3 linked regions of the Oryzias latipes genome follow. The protein of the gene in region 2 interacts with the protein of the main gene of each other region in a pairwise test. Links are inferred from orthologs where the notes say so. Each region holds a gene or a part of one and is shown on either strand. Other genes may lie near its edges. The genes, in order: rad23a, trip6 and rhoq.

What was found.
Region 1: the proteins of trip6 (region 2) and rad23a interact in binary tests that used the Homo sapiens proteins (3 or more experiments, as listed by UniProt). The two-hybrid records come from large-scale screens. The link is inferred for Oryzias latipes from reciprocal best matches to the Homo sapiens genes TRIP6 and RAD23A.
Region 3: the proteins of trip6 (region 2) and rhoq interact in a two-hybrid assay, tested with the Homo sapiens proteins (2 studies listed by BioGRID and IntAct). The two-hybrid records come from large-scale screens. The link is inferred for Oryzias latipes from reciprocal best matches to the Homo sapiens genes TRIP6 and RHOQ.

Annotation. Positions count from the first base shown.
Region 1 is NC_019866.2:22,938,668-22,942,320, reverse strand, and holds part of rad23a (UV excision repair protein RAD23 homolog A), read left to right. Parts: intron 1-807; coding exon 808-851; intron 852-1,286; coding exon 1,287-1,414; intron 1,415-3,388; coding exon 3,389-3,476; intron 3,477-3,653. UniProt on the Homo sapiens protein: Multiubiquitin chain receptor involved in modulation of proteasomal degradation. Binds to 'Lys-48'-linked polyubiquitin chains in a length-dependent manner and with a lower affinity to 'Lys-63'-linked polyubiquitin chains.
Region 2 is NC_019876.2:14,756,106-14,759,758, forward strand, and holds part of trip6 (thyroid receptor-interacting protein 6), read right to left. Parts: intron 2,291-3,653; 5' UTR 2,275-2,290; coding exon 2,073-2,274; intron 1-2,072. UniProt on the Homo sapiens protein: Relays signals from the cell surface to the nucleus to weaken adherens junction and promote actin cytoskeleton reorganization and cell invasiveness. Involved in lysophosphatidic acid-induced cell adhesion and migration.
Region 3 is NC_019873.2:6,511,471-6,515,123, forward strand, and holds part of rhoq (rho-related GTP-binding protein RhoQ), read left to right. Parts: intron 1-2,198; coding exon 2,199-2,363; intron 2,364-3,653. UniProt on the Homo sapiens protein: Plasma membrane-associated small GTPase which cycles between an active GTP-bound and an inactive GDP-bound state. In active state binds to a variety of effector proteins to regulate cellular responses. Involved in epithelial cell polarization processes.

The sequences.
Region 1 (3,653 bases), on a different chromosome or scaffold from region 2:
CTAAAAATAACCCTTGATAGGAAATCTGCAAAGTAATGAAGCTTTATATGTACAATAATTCTGGTATTTAAGGCTGTAAAGCTTCTCACTACACACCTGTCTACGTTTCTCAGACAAACATGAACATTTTCACACTTTTGTCTCTTGTTTAAAGTCTCAAAGTTCAAACCTTCACAGAATCTAAGGCCAGTATTGTAGAATGAAAATAGATCTGTTTATAGTAGAAAACACTGATGGTCATGTTTCTGAAATCAGGTGGTTGATTTTTTTCGGCTTTTCTGCTTTCTTCTTTTTTTAAAATTTATTTAAAATGTGTTTTTGTGGAGGGGTTGCACAGTGGTGTAGTGGCCAGCGCTCCTCCCTCGTAGCGAGAAGGTTCTGGTTCCAATCCCAGCCGGGTTTTGTCTGCGTGGAGTTTGCATGTTCTGTCTGCATGTGTGGAACTCCAAAAAACATTCCAAAAACACGCTTCATGGTTAATTGGTGAATCTCAATTGTCTCTAGGCGTGAATGTGAACTGGCGACCTGTTCAGGGTGTAGCCCACCTTCACCCAATAGTAGTTGGGATAGGCTCCAGCAACCATGTGACTCTAAAACTGATTCTGCCGGTTTAGGGGATGGATTGATGTTGTTTTTTGTCGATTTTGTTGAATAATTTAGGCGTTTGTGCTGTTTAAATGTTGGATTGATAAAGCTCTTCGAGGGTCTGAAGTCTTTCACATTAAGGCGGATTTGTTTTACTGTATATAAAGCTAAAATAACGTGATAGGATTTCAAATCAATCAGGATTTTCCTTGTCTTTTGTAGCTCCAGCGGCGGGAATCAGGGCCTGGACGCCTCTTCAGCGTTGGGTATGTGACGCTGAACCCTCACCTGATGACTCTATGCTCCGCCTGCAGTTGCTGCTCTCATCAACACAACACAAACCCTTCCTGTAATTAGAGGGCGACAAAAGCGAGCTGGCTCTTGTTGCGGGGTCACACAGAGGGATGGGGAGTCCCATGTGATGCAGTTATGAGCACATCTGCTGCACGCAGAGGCGACAGGAAGTCACGTCATTTGTCAGTCAAGTGCCAGAGAGCCTCTGTCTTCTGCGTTCAGCCTTTTGGTCTTGAAGTCAAGTTGAGACCGTTCCCATTTAAAACAGGGGAGCCTGACACAATAATCATGAAATGTTTGGACTATTCAAATCCCGAAACTCTTTATTTGACCCGTAAAACTTGACTGATTGTAGCTCAGGCTTGACCCCCTTTGCACAGAGGTTTGATTCCCGGTTTGTGTTTCAGTGACTGGAGCGGAGTACGAGGCCATGCTGACGGAGATCATGTCTATGGGATACGAGAGGGAGCGAGTGGTGGCGGCGCTGCGGGCCAGCTTCAACAACCCGCACAGAGCCGTGGAGTACCTCCTCACTGTACGTATGCTGAGGCCCCGCCCACCTGCCGGATGGGACGCTGCCTCTGAGCTCCCAGCCAGGGTGTGATGCTCTCACTACCGTAACCCTTCGACTGCGTACGCAATTCTTCTTTTCATTAACCTGTTTTTTAGTAGGGAATCAACACGAATCGGCTGATTCTGACACGGACAAAAGCGGCTTTTCATGTTGGCTTTGCACCGATAGACCACACATTTCTAACTTTAAAAGTGTTGCATGACGGCGCAAAGCTGTTTCCGCCACGGCAGAATCGGCTGTTGGTTGTGTAAACACTTGAGTCCTGTAAAGTGTTGCCCATCAGTGTGAAGCTCATTTTCTCCACTTCAGAATCCGTTGCGTGAACAGTCGTAGGGTTACGGTAGTGGAAAGAATGTAAACACTGGCGCTAAAGCTCTGGTGTCGCTGGACATTCACACAACAGACATCCGACCAACAGGAGGTGAGGTTGTGTGAGACGTTCACACCAAACGCGTATCTGACGCGTCAGATCTGCTGCTTAATGTTTATCCAAAGAACGCGTTCATAAATGGACGTCTGAGACGAGCTGCCGGTTCAGATTTTGGAAGCATTGACTCCATATCCCGTTTACAGTGCATGGAAGACACGGATGATGTTTAGAGATCAGGTTTACGTGTTTTAAAAGACTTCTACAGAAACATTGGTGATCCCGCCTCCACGTCTGGGTTCATGACATCATTCAGAGACTCTCCCGGTACGCTGAGCTTCACCGTCTGCTGCAGGAGCTGCGTCTGATTGACAGCTGCTCCCGACTCTCCCTGACCCAGTTTGACGACTCGCTGTCCCGCATGAGTCCTGGGAGGGAAAAAATACAAATGAGAATCAAATTAGAGGAACTTTCCATTATTGTATCGACGGAAAAAGCAAAACAAAATAATGGTCCTAATCTTTTCAGTGATTCCCGATTGCATCACTGAACCCGCCACGCCTGATTGGTTGACATGCGGTTGAAGTTTAATTCGACTCGCTGCGATGCCCAAAACATGCTGCTGCAGAACCAACGTTCAGACCCCAGATGGCGTCTGGACATTGATGCGTGAATCGCATTTGGTGTGAACGCGGCTTTAGCGACACGCACCCGTACAGGTGCTGCGGGGTTTTAGGTCGTCTGGGACGTGGAAAGTCGTAGCGAGGAGCCTACCGCCACTCTTGAACTGTTTATGCAGAAAAGCCAAAGCTTTGCAACGTTTTCTCTGTCAGAATTACTAAAAAGTAACGTAAACAATCCAAGAGCGTGTGTTTTTTGTTGTTTTTTGTCGCTAGTGACAACGTAGGTGTTAAAGGTTAAGGAAACGCAGGTGTCTTGGAAATGTCATGAAATGGAAGGTACCATTGGCGTGCGTGTGGTAAGTTTGTCGTTGGGATGATGTAAGTTGCACGTGATGCTGTTGTATGGCCCCCTAGTCATCAGTAAGGCGTCACTGACGACATGCTATGTTTGATACGCAGGTGCCTGTAGGATGTCCTCTGTCTAATTTCTAAGTCAGGCTGCATGTGAGGAGCGCGCACGTGTCACGTGAACAGCACCACCGGCTCCTTTCTGCTGGAATGAGGAGGGTTGAAGACATGAAAGTCCTGACGACACGCCTGTGTCTCACCTGCTTCATCCTCACGTGTTGTAGAAGCGTTCACTGCGACCTGTCGTCCGTAGAAAAAACTGCGCACGAGCATTTTCGCCTTACAGTCTACGGTGTTAAAATGGTCCCCCAGGTGTGCCCACGTTCCCCCCACAGACAGCCGTGTCCACCTGCGAGTGCGGTGGAGACCACAGCTAAAGCCTCTGGGTGTAAATCTGGAAATGAAGGCGTGTAACCGCATCCGCTGTGTGGCACCAGCCGTCTGATTAGGTCGAACTTGTGACTCTAGATGCCTCAGAATGAAACATCGCTGTCCAGCTCAGGAAGTGGTCGCTCACAGGCGCTCTTGTGTTTCCAGGGTATTCCCAGCAGCCCCGTGCAAGAAAGCAACCCCCCAGTGCAGCCCCCCACCTCTGGATCCACAGACGCCCCCTCTCTAGCAGAAGGTATGAGACCACAATGCATTGCCTTTGAATGATTTGTCATTTGAAAAAATGTACATAAATGAGTTTTTATGAATTATCCACCTTTTCTTTATCACAACACAGAACAAAGTTGTCATAAAATGTTCCTATTGATTAGGTTTTTTAGTTTGGCAAACCGGTGACGTCAGATTTGCTGTT
Region 2 (3,653 bases):
TTTTTTGGGAAGTCAAGCAGTGAGACTATTGAATTCATCTGAAAGAAAAAGAAAATAAAAGACACTTGTTGGCTTTTGACGTTTGTTTAAATCCACAGAACAGTTTGAATAGACGAGTTTAAAAAACCAGGAATGTCCTCATCAGTTTTTTTTTTCCTCAATCCAATTCATTTAATTTTGACCATCTGCTGATACAGAGTACCAATCTGAACCATTCAAATAAAATGAATGTAGTAAACAGACCCAGGTTGGTCCCTGTTTTGACTCTATTAGCTTCTGTTATCATTTAGCCCCCTGAACAGAGCAGGAGCTTGAACAGTCAAGTAAAAATAGTAAACTATCAACTAGTACAAATGGATGATTGATAGTCATGTGAGATAGTTTGGTGACTTAACTTTAGCATTTTCACAACTATTGAACCTTTTTAAACAGATGTGATTCAGATCTCCATAAGGAATTTTTTTTTTGAAAACCAATGATGACTTTCTTCTAAAGTTGTTGTAAAATAAATATAATGATGCGTATTTACGACTCGCTCATATCAATAGAACAATTTATGATTTATGGTTGTTTTTCAGTGATTAATTATTATTATTTGCACTTTTTGTCTCTTAGCAGCCAGACCTTTTTTTCTACAAGTCTGATCAAAACTGCTCATTTACATGGTGTTGTCTAATTTAAGATGAGCTCTTTCAGAATAAAATTGAAATATTGATGTGCAGCTAAAACGTAAAAATAAAAAAAATAAAAAGCTAAGAAAAGGTTTTACACTAAATCAGCAAATGATAAACTTTTTTTTGTTTTTGTTTTGATGGATGTTTATAAGAAAAGAGTTTCAGGAATCTTGGAAGACTTCCCGTTCTGGGTAAACAGAACTACTTTATCATTTCCTCTTTCAAAATGTTTCAAAAACACAACTAAGCAAGTTTGAAGTTACAAACTAAAACACAAAAATGTTTCCAGTGGATCTAAGGCAACGTTTACACTGCAGGCTGAAACGACCCAATTCCGATTTTTTTGTCCCTATGCGACCTGTATCTGATCTTTCATGACAGTCTGAACGACACAGATCCGATCTTTTCAAATGCGACTTCCGTCTGAACGGCCAGGCCACATGAATCCGATCCGTACGTCATCGATATGCTACAAAAGTCATAATTCTGCGTTGAAGTAGGCGGGAACGAGAACATAAACATCAACCATGGCGTACGATGCTGCTGAGACCAGTCAGTGGAAGGGAAGCGAGGTCACCGGTTGGATTCATATTTGGGGTGACAGCTCTATTCAGGCCAAACTCAAGGGCTCTTATCGCAACCAGCCGGTTATTGAAAGATTTTCCAGCGAAATGGCGGAGCGTGGTGTTGAACCTTTCCCGCAAAGACTTTTTATCCTTTCCGTCCGTGGACAGAAGCGCGAGGGAGACCTTCTCCACGGCCGAAGGATCCTCCTTCGGGGTTCACTTCCCCGTTTGGACCCTCAGATTCTCCAGAGCGGGTTAATAAAGACTCATTAGCATTTATTCTGGGAAAACCTTCTTTTATTATCGTTCTCTTTCCTCCGTAAGACACAATACGAATACACGCCCCCACTGCACCCCCCCTCACCTACTCTTGCGCTGCACGCGCTCTCTTACTTCTCTTACACACGCCCTCGCGGCCCCAGCACATTCACATCTCCATTCCACAACAGTGGGTACAGACGATCCTAGCTCAAATGCCTTATTAAAATGAGAAGATTGTTATTGCGCTGGCTCCTTTGTGAAAATGAATTCAATAATGCAAAAGGAGCTTAGCTGTTGACAACACTGTTGTTGACATCCATTGTTAACGTTAGCTACTTCTGCAAACAACGAGTGACGTCGGTCACCGTTGAGTACTCTTCTGCGCATGCGGGTCACTTCTGGGTCATTTCACGGTCACATAGGACATCACAAAAGTTCGCATTTAATTGGAAATGTGAATGGCCTTGCAAAAAAAACAATTTTTTTCAAAAAATTGGAATTGAGCATGAAGCCCTGCAGTGTGAACGTAGCCTATACCCAGATTTGACTCCAGATGTTGAGGGTTTCCTACCTGTGGCTCCTGTCGCCATGTACCTGTTGGTGACCCCGCCCACTCCATTCTGGTCATACGGACCATATTTTGCTCTGAAGTCTGACATGGCCTTTTTGTTTGGGGCGCGGTAGATCGCTGCCCCGGAGGAGTGGGACATCTGGGGGATGGCACGTTCGGGGCTGTCCAGGTTCCTTGGGGGCAGCCAGGTGGGACCAGACATGGCAGACCTCAGTGCTCTGACAACACAGGAAGTGCGAAGTAATGAATGAGTCCCTTTGCTAAGAATTTTCAGCTTTAATCCACTATACTTAGATGCAGCTCTGGCTGAGATGTGTTTGTAAATATCAGGTAACCAATGGAAACCGCAGGAAGCTTCCGCCTTTGTTTCCTATGGCAACGGGAGACGGAGCAAACAATGCAGTTTATGTTGATGGGTAAATTTAACGCTCAGAGGTTTCCAGCAGGCCTTACTCAACGCAGAGACACAAACAATCTCCAGCTCACTCACACACACACACACACATACACACACAAGCACACCAGCAGGTGCAAATCTGTGTTATCCATCACAATAGTTATTGTGTTTGGCTATTTACACTCCACTATCATGAATTTCCATTCGAAACCGAGACAAAACCGGAGTCAGGAAATGTTGTGTAATAATATTCATTTGCGAACACCTGCATCACAACAATGTGTCATTTACCGGTACTTTTGGTGGGATAAAGGCGTCAGAGCCTCAAAGCTGGGCTGTCAAAAGCCCCGACTAACACCTGATGGTTTTCAGGACACCGACGGTACAAAGTCTTTAAAACGCGCTCCATTTCAGAGCATCGATTTAAAATGTTAGGAATATCGGAACAAAGAAAAAAGACGTTTTTCTTAAGCAGAGAATCGCACCACAACATAATCTATTTAGGATTACAAAATTGTTTTATCAAAGTTTAATTTAAATTATATTTTTTTAAAAGTTGTGTTTTGATCCAAAGAACTTGCTATAGTATTACTTTATACAACTATAAAGTAACCTTAATGTCTTGTGTTTATATTAAATGGATTTTAAAAGTTAAAATCTGACTTTGCCACATTCCTCACACCAGTTTTGTTGATTCCCTCCCTTTAAAAGACCTCGTTTCAAAGCTCGCACATCTCAAACTCTTACGGCAGGAAATCTTTGTGATAAGCAAAGAAGGCCACAGATTTCTCAGCAATCACACAATAAGAAAAATAAACCTGTTTCCATTTCACTGCTTTGCAAAAGTTACATCATGACTGAATTCATCAAGATGTTCCAAAGTTACAAAGGCTGACCGTTTTCTTCCTGGAGTGTTTCATATCAGGCAGCAGTGGATGCAGTTTATTTTATTATTTTTTTGTACAAACAGAAATATAGCAACAGAAGGATTGTTTAAACTACTGTGTTGGATGTCTTCTATATGAACTCTATAAAGCCAGATCCTTAAATCATGGACAGCTATAAAAACCTAGAAATTTTTTTTAATTAAATATAAAACTAAAACATAAACAGTTTTCAGGAGACGGTTTAAGTGTAGTTCTTAAAAAAGATAATATGGGAAGATTGTGTCCCTCATTTAAATA
Region 3 (3,653 bases), on a different chromosome or scaffold from region 2:
GTATCTGTTGCTATGGTGATGCAACAAATTCTGCAAAAATTTCTCAGCAAATTTACACTGGATGCAAACCAAAAATATGTCGAAATTTACCAACATAGCTAAAAAAAAATGTGATAGCAGAAGGAAGTGTACTGAGTGAGTAACAGATTAAACTGCAAGGAAAAAAACAAAATTAAAACTGAACCAGACCTGTGAAACCAAAACCCGGCTCCTGAGGAACACATGAACCACTTTAACAAGGTTGAATAGAAGTCTATCCTCAAATCTCTCTTTACCCCAAACTACCTCTTTAACCTTAGATGTAGAGTATTTTTTATTTTAATTTTTTAGGCTGACAGCCTGAAGAAGACCATAATTAAAGCAGCAGCTGGACTCCCCTCCATACATTGTGTGATGGAACAGATTTACCAGACGCACTCCTTCTTTCTTACAGTTCAGCCTCTTTGTTGGAGGTTTTGTCGAGGCAGCAAAAAAAAACAACCCAAAAAAGACCACTGACTTGAAGAAGTGAAAGCGGAGACAAAACTTCTTTTGGAAAATACCTTTAACCTCCTCAGTAGTTAATGTTTGGGCTATCCAAGGAGGTTCACGCGTTTCTGTAGATTTAGTCCTATTCTGAAAATGTGAAACCAAATATCGGATCATTTCTTATCCCTCAGAAGTCTCTGAACTCACCTGTGCATTAGCCAATCACATCAGCTGAACCGGCCCTTAGTATAGTTTTCATTCAAAATCTAACATCAACACTTTTTAGCTTTGAATTTTTTGGTTTCATACAAACATAACAAGAGTTGTGACACATTTGTGATTCTGCTTGGAATAAACCCTTTGAGTGGAACCCTTTTTATTTAGACATTTCTGTGTTGTTGTTTTTTACCTCGTATTTACTTTGTGGATTCGTTCACTTTTATTTTCTCTCTGGATGTTTGATCATTGTTGTAAAATATTAAACCTGTTTGATATCATTTTTTGTGGCTTTTGTAGTAAAAAAAAAGACGAAATCTACAACCCGAATTGAGTTTTTGGGAGTTTCTGGTTGATTTTTGAATTATTTTTTACTATTAGGGCTGCACGTCATCAGGAAGACTCATTTCCTGATATGAGTGATCTATATTGCGATGACGATATCATACAACAGTTTAAATTAAATAAGATAACATAACTTAAATTACCTCCAAATGACCCTCGTCTACACAGGAGGCGAGCATCTAACATCAAAGGGCTCCATCCTTGTGGTCAAATGCATAGATGGATTAATTTGATTCGTTAAATACTTCAAGCTGCCATAAGATTGTTTTAGCTCATTTAAGGTTACCGGTTTTATGATATGCATATTGCACAGCTTGATCTCCAGATAACGATATATTAGCGATTTATTGTGCAGGCCTATGTAATATAATGAAAACTATTAGTAAAATATAGAAGCTGGGATTATTGCCACACAAAAAAAACAGTTTTAATGGTAAAGTATTAGAGCAAACTGTAAAATAATTAAAAGAAAATGCTCCAAAAGGGTTAATATAGAGATTTCTTTTTTCAGAATGCTTCGTTTTTGAACCAGAGCGTTTTAATTGGCTGAATCCAGACCAATTATATCACACCAGGAAGTTTAGAAAATGGTGTCTATGCCAAACTCTCCATCAGTACACAAGGCTGTGCTGTGAAGACGATCTGTGAAACCTTTGGAATCGTCTGGATGGAGAAGGATGAAGACAGAAAAAAGTTATATTTGAAAAAACAAACTCCCTAACATGAATCCGCTGCTGTGCGAGTGTTTGCTTGTCTGATTGAGTTTGTCTCATGTTTGTGTGAGGCTGAGTCATCTCTAATTACCTGAGAGGCATCGACTCTGCGTTTCTCCCTGCTGCTTTCTGAATGCCAGCCGGAAGAAAATGTGAGATGGATCACAAGCAAAGGGTTGCTGTTTTTTTAGTGAATGTGGTTTTGTTTTTTTTGCTTTCACCCCTAAAATAGTCGGACATAACGGTGTGTGGTTGTCATGTTCTGCAGCTGCACCTTTAAGCCTTTAAGAAGGTGAAACCATTAATCCAAAATGGGGGACAAAACCCATCATCTTTTGTTGTCTCTGCCCAATATCAGAGCTGTGATAAAGGAAATCATCTTTTAGTCGGTAGGGAACAGAAATGAAGCAGGTCTGCCCTCTGACTCCAGAGATTCACCATCTTTGTTTCTTTTAGGAGGACTACGACCGGCTGAGGCCGCTGTCTTACCCGATGACCGATGTCTTCCTCATCTGCTTCTCCGTGGTCAACCCGGCCAGTTTCCAGAACGTGCGTGAGGAGTGGGTGCCGGAGCTGCAGGAATATGCCCCCAGCGTCCCTTACCTGCTCATCGGTACTCAGGTTAGTTCTTAACACCCGTGGAAAAAAATTTTACATCCATTTTACCGTAAATTCTCAATTGTCCTCATCAGTTTTTGGAAGATAAATAAATATTGAAGCTTTTGCTAGTTTGGGAGAGAACTTTTTACTTAAGTGCACTTTTGCAGTTTGCTTCCAAATGAATGTAAAAAACAGTTTTCCCTTTTTTTCTTTTGGTTTCCATGCTTATCATTGAGAAATGTATTTTTTTGCTACAAAGGGACCTTATTTTTCCCTAACCTGGTTAAGCGTGTTAAAGTATTGTATTAGAAAAGGGTTTTCCCACTGACTGACTTCACGTTTAGACTCAAACTAAGCTGTCACTCCGTTTTGTTTTTTTGCATTTGCATAACTGCAGGACACGCATTTCTGAGTATTTCTCTAAAAACCTGCACTCTGAGCACCGGCCCCTCCCAACCCAGGAATACGAGTCAGATTCACACGAGCTGATGTAGACAAATAAAGAACCGCCCCTTCCAGGAAGAGTCTGTCCTGCCAGCACCGCCCCCCCCAGGCTAACAGACACGCCCCCATTCTGCACAGAGCTAGCGATGATCGGCTAAACTCTTTCCTTTTATACGTTCAGTATGCTCATCCATCTTTCGGATAATTAAGTTTGGATGTTGTTTGTTTTGCTGTGTGGGACGCTGACACGCTGCTGAGGCCGGCTCTAGGATGATGTCGTGAAATGGGCGGACCCACAAGGAGCGCAAGGCGGAGCCTCAGAGAAAGAGGCGTTTTACTTCCTGGTTGGAAAAAAGCTCAGGAAAATAACAGATATTTGATTAAAACTTCATTCTTTTGTGTGCCAAAGGTAATATATTATCACATGTATGTATGTATGTATATATATATATATATACATATATATATATAGATAGATAGATAGATAGATATATCTTGATGTAGTTTACCATAAAAGGCTTAAGAATAGCATGGAATAGGCCATTTTAAAGACTCGCTTTGCTCAAATTTGTTTCTAAATGTGTTTGTGTGACATTTTTCTGATGATAATGGACACGTATAAAACAATTAAGATTAAAATGACATTTCTGACTATTTTTGTACGGCTGGATAGCTCGAATATTGCTCGCCAATTTTGTTGCAGCGATAGTGTTGGATTAGAGTATGTGAGAGGCTGTAAAATAGCAGGAGACCAAGTACACAGGAAGCTCTCGGTAACGGGAAGGGGGGCGGGTGTTGCTCAACGCCAACAGGCCCTTCCACAGCTCAAAGGTGAATTTCTGATGAACTACTGTCGCTCTGCAGAAG